Linked DNA regions of Kluyveromyces lactis. The protein of the gene in region 1 purifies or fractionates together with the protein of each later gene. This does not show direct contact. Links are inferred from orthologs where the notes say so. Each region holds a gene or a part of one and is shown in the gene's direction. Other genes may lie near its edges.

Evidence for each region. The genes of interacting proteins can lie anywhere in the genome.
Region 2: the proteins of RHO1 (region 1) and RDI1 purify together in Saccharomyces cerevisiae (affinity purification with western blotting; 3 studies listed by BioGRID, with this or other methods). This does not show direct contact. The link is inferred for Kluyveromyces lactis from reciprocal best matches to the Saccharomyces cerevisiae genes RHO1 and RDI1.

The regions. Positions count from the first base shown.
Region 1 is NC_006038.1:935,201-937,623, forward strand, and holds RHO1 (Rho family GTPase RHO1), read left to right. Parts: upstream 1-1,296; coding exon 1,297-1,923; downstream 1,924-2,423. Other genes in the region: KLLA0_B10604g (uncharacterized protein), read left to right, coding at 1-493. UniProt on the Saccharomyces cerevisiae protein: Acts as a central regulator in the cell wall integrity signaling pathway, which is regulated by the cell cycle and in response to various types of cell wall stress.
Region 2 is NC_006042.1:523,345-525,657, reverse strand, and holds RDI1 (Rdi1p), read left to right. Parts: upstream 1-1,213; coding exon 1,214-1,813; downstream 1,814-2,313. Other genes in the region: KLLA0_F05335g (2-oxo-4-hydroxy-4-carboxy-5-ureidoimidazoline decarboxylase), read right to left, coding at 95-679; RBS1 (Rbs1p), read right to left, coding at 2,057-2,313. UniProt on the Saccharomyces cerevisiae protein: Regulates the GDP/GTP exchange reaction of the Rho proteins by inhibiting the dissociation of GDP from them, and the subsequent binding of GTP to them.

The DNA.
Region 1 (2,423 bases):
TACAACAACGAACTTAATTATACAGCACGACTTCGGTTTCCACCACGAAATCTCGGAATTGAAAGTTTCTTCAAATCTAATACTCATGAAATTGAAACGAGAACTAGACTCCGATGAATCCTTTTGCCAAGTGGGACGAATCAATGAATTTATCAAATATGGCACCAAAGCCCTCGTAAGCTTACAAGAGTACGAATGGATTAACTTCATCAGGGAAGATACGTTGAAAACAAGATTTTTCGAACCAAACTGGCTCATCATTTGGGGTAATGACAGATTCACTACTGAAGGGATAATAGTTTTTGTCAGAAACACAATCCATGGCATAGAAAGATACCCGGTGGACAAAACTACTACATGCAAGATCACAGTTCGTTCGCATCCTGTGGACATAATGATGACTAAAACTGAAGAAAAACTCCACGAATGGACTGTACTTCACAGCACAGGGCACATAACCACAATAAAGACCGCTATTCTACATATTGAGTGATTTAGCTTGTTATGCATATTCTGTACTGTACTGTACCATATGCTATTTTTCTCTTTCATTCTCATCATGGCTTAGACGTGGCTGCTGAAAAATTTCGGTTTCAGATTAGGAAAAGCTCCAGTATTTGACAATGATCCGGGTCAATTAAACGCCAAATTCTATCGCTCTTCCGCTCGACTCTCACTACAATACCACTATATAGATACACACAAGTTTCACACACTGAGTCGTGCGTCGACCGTTGCAATTGCATCGATTGCACACAAATGTACCCTTTTTTATACCATAGAATCGCCAATTTTTCTCTCAAATTTGAAATTTTTCGCTTTTTCTGTCTTTTGTGTGTGATTCCCATAGACAGATCGAAAGTTTTGGGAAAAGTGTATATTTAGGAATTTTGAAATAAGTTTAAAGATACAAAAATTTAATAATAACAACAACAACATTAAGTGAAACTGGACTCGAGTGAACGAGGTGTAGAAACCAGGTCTAGACTTACTATTGATACAGGTTATTGTTGTGAGTGATTCAGTATACGGACGGTACTAAATCATAGGTCAAAGACAGAGCTTATCGTTAGTTTTCTAAGAGGTTTGATTTTTATTTCGGGTTGTTTTTATTTTCCTATTTTAACTAGTGAAGAATCAATCAAGGATAGAGTTTCTAAAGCAAGTTATTGAGTAAGAAATATAGATTCCTTCTAAGTGTCATAAAACAGAATTACTCAAGAGTTTTCGAACAGCTTTGATTTTATAATACAATAAAAAAAAGTAGTGATTTGATTTGTTTTAACCCTTTCCATAATGTCTCAAGCTGTTGGTAATGTTGCCAGCATTAGAAGAAAGCTAGTTATTGTCGGTGATGGTGCGTGTGGTAAGACTTGTTTATTGATTGTTTTCGCCAAGGGTAAGTTCCCTCAGGTTTACGTGCCCACTGTTTTCGATAATTACGTTGCTGATGTCGAAGTTGACGGTCGTCGCGTAGAATTGGCGTTGTGGGATACTGCTGGCCAAGAAGATTATGATAGATTGAGACCACTTTCGTACCCAGATTCCAACGTTGTGTTAATCTGTTACTCAATTGATTTGCCAGATTCCTTAGAAAACGTGATGGAAAAATGGATCTCTGAAGTTTTACACTTTTGTCAAGGTGTTCCAATCATCTTGGTTGGTTGTAAAGCAGATTTGAGAAATGATCCTCAAGTTGTTGAAGAACTAAGAGCTCAAGGATTACAACCTGTGTCTCAGGCTCAAGCACAAGAAGTCGCTGACCAAATCGGTGCTGTTGACTACATCGAATGTTCTGCCAAGACCGGTTACGGTGTCAGAGAAGTCTTCGAGGCTGCTACAAGAGCTTCTTTGGTCGGTAAACAAGGTAAGAGCAAACCTAAGACTAAGTCTAGCAAAAAAAAGAAGTGTGTCGTCTTGTAAATAAAGACACGCACGCCCCAAACCCACTCTTCACCCCCTTATCTCCAACTTCATTTGAATTTACCTTGAAACAGAGGACTGAGCTTTGAGGATATTATTATTAGGCGATGGGAATTGTTTACAACCGTTAATTGGCAGAAGTAAAGATCCAAAAAAAAAGAAGAGGGAAGACGAACAAACCATATTCATTTGTTTCTAATTGATCAATTTTTAATATACAAATGTCAGCAATTAATTTCCGTTGAATTTCCTAATTTTTTCTCCTCGTTCTTTTCTTTGTTTCCATCTGGTTTCAAGTGACCATCCCTCCCTGACATTTTCTCTTCTACCTCTCTTCTGTTTTGTGTGTTTCTACCTATAAATTATTTTTATATACCTACACTCTTTTATTTTGTAAGAAACTTAAATATTATCACCACTATACTGCACTTTCTCATCTTATAAATGTCACTTGCTTTGCCACAACCCAAGCGCTTCTTTTACATTGATTAAACCTTGTA
Region 2 (2,313 bases), on another chromosome or scaffold:
TGATATATTTGGAGAATGTAACGCTGCCCTCGCAATGAATCAGAAAAACTATAGTTGCTTCAAGTGTTATTATTTACCTTTCGTTTTTGGAATATTATATCTTGCCCTTAATTTCACTGCATTTGTTAAGTCTGTCAATGGCGATATCTGTCATCTCGTTGATGGCTATCCTACACTCTTCGAACCACGTATTATTGGAATTGATTCTTTGCTCCATCAGTTTACTAATTCTATCGTAAGATCTGCCATTTACAAAGACTACAAACTTCAACCCCTCATATTTCTTTTCGTACTTGTCATTCAAAGTCTTTAACCATGTCAAAATTTCTAAAGAATCGACTGTGCTACCAGTTAAGTTGGCTTGCTCTTTCATGGAATGGACAGACAGTTTCTGTTTTGAATCTCCGAGTCTTGGATGAGCACCCACTATGTTAGCCAGATGATCTACACCACGGCTGCTAATTCCTTCTGCCTCTGTATCGTCGCACACTTTCAATAATTTATCCTTAATGGCGTTGACGAGTTCCACGTAAGAATTCCATCCACTAGCCATGAATCGAGAATTTTGGAGAGTGAACCATACTAAAGAATCACTGTGTTCAAACAATACGTCTAGAATATCAATTTGTTCATTAAGTGATGAGCTTTTGAATTCATCGATACTGGGCAATCTTGTCATATTTGCAGGTAACGTTGATACGCTCTTCGTTGAAACCAGTTTATTCGATTAGGCTCTTCACGTAATCGGAAATGTCAGGATAAAGCTGTCGAATGAACTAGCATACAAACATGTTTCTTTATTAATATATCTATATATATATATACTGTGTTTGATCAGTTGTGATGTGAATTGTGATAGGATTTCCATGTATCATTAAGGGCGAGTGTGAAGTGATTAGACGTGCGGAGATCCCCGTGATTTTCAAGTCACGTGCTGTCAATGGTTTTCCTATTTTTACTTCGTTCTTTTCACTGATGCGTGTCGAGTCTCGAAGTGCAACTATTTGAGGTTTCTTAACTAACGACATCAGATCTCGAGCGGACTTTGACACTGTGTAAGAACACATGCAAAATATTGGCAATTTGATAGCTTGGGCGTTAGAGTTGATCCAACGCCATTAAAGTTCTCGCTTTATACTTTAAATCTTTTTAATCAAACATTGGATCCACTCTCAGTGATATCATTCGTGAGTTGCCGTGACCGTTTCTAGCCATGTCTGAAGAAGAGGAGTTTAAACAATTCGATGAAGAAAACGATACATACAAAGTCGGGGAGAAGAAGACTGTAGAAGAATACAAAAACTTAGATGCTGATGATGAGGCGTTAAGAAAATGGAAAGATTCTTTAGGATTGGGAGGTGATGTTTTACCATTGGAACATCCTGGGGATGAACGTCGTGTGGTGATCCAGAAGATTCAGTTGATCGTTGACACAGAACCAGCGCCAATTACGTTTGATTTGACAAACGAGAAGACTTTGAAAGACCTGGCCTCAAAGAGATACAAGATCAAAGAAAAATCTATTTACCATTTGAAGATCACTTTCAAGGTTCAACACGAAATTATTACTGGCTTAAGATACGTGCAATACACCAAAAAGGCAGGCATTGCAGTTGATAAGATTGATGACCACTTGGGTTCGTATGCTCCAAATACCACAAAGAACCCATTTTATGAGGTGGAATTGCCTGAATCTGAAGCGCCAAGTGGTTTCCTTGTTCGCGGGAATTATTCTGCAGTCTCAAAGTTCATAGATGATGATAAGAACAACCATTTGACTTTGAATTGGGGTGTTGAAATTGTGAAAAGGTGATGATTTATGATACATACTCTAAGCTGTGACAATATTTTCGCCATTGATCAGACATTGATTGTGGATGAATCTTTAGTGACGAAGTAATGTTCATGTCCAGGCTAGTCATTGCCCGGGCCCATCTTCTGAACAACGTAGCTGGCGTTCTCTAAAAGCTGAAACATTTCAATATGAACAAGTAAAAACCATTATGTTTGTAATCGCATTATATACGTCTATGATTAGATCTAACTTTTATTTGCTTCAGCAACGAAAATGACGTGCTTCATTTATGGGTTTTCCATTCTTTTTGTATCCATTAGAGTCATTTTTACCACTGTTCTTTTTCTCATAAGGTTGAAATACTGGTGGTGGCATGGCATACATTGGTTGTCCTGGTATCATCATTCGATTGTTAGTCATTGGAGCTCCTATAGGGTAGTACATATACTCCATTGGCGCTACCATCTGATATCCGAACGGAATAGAATCTGGTCTCATTGGTGCCATCGGAGGTGGCA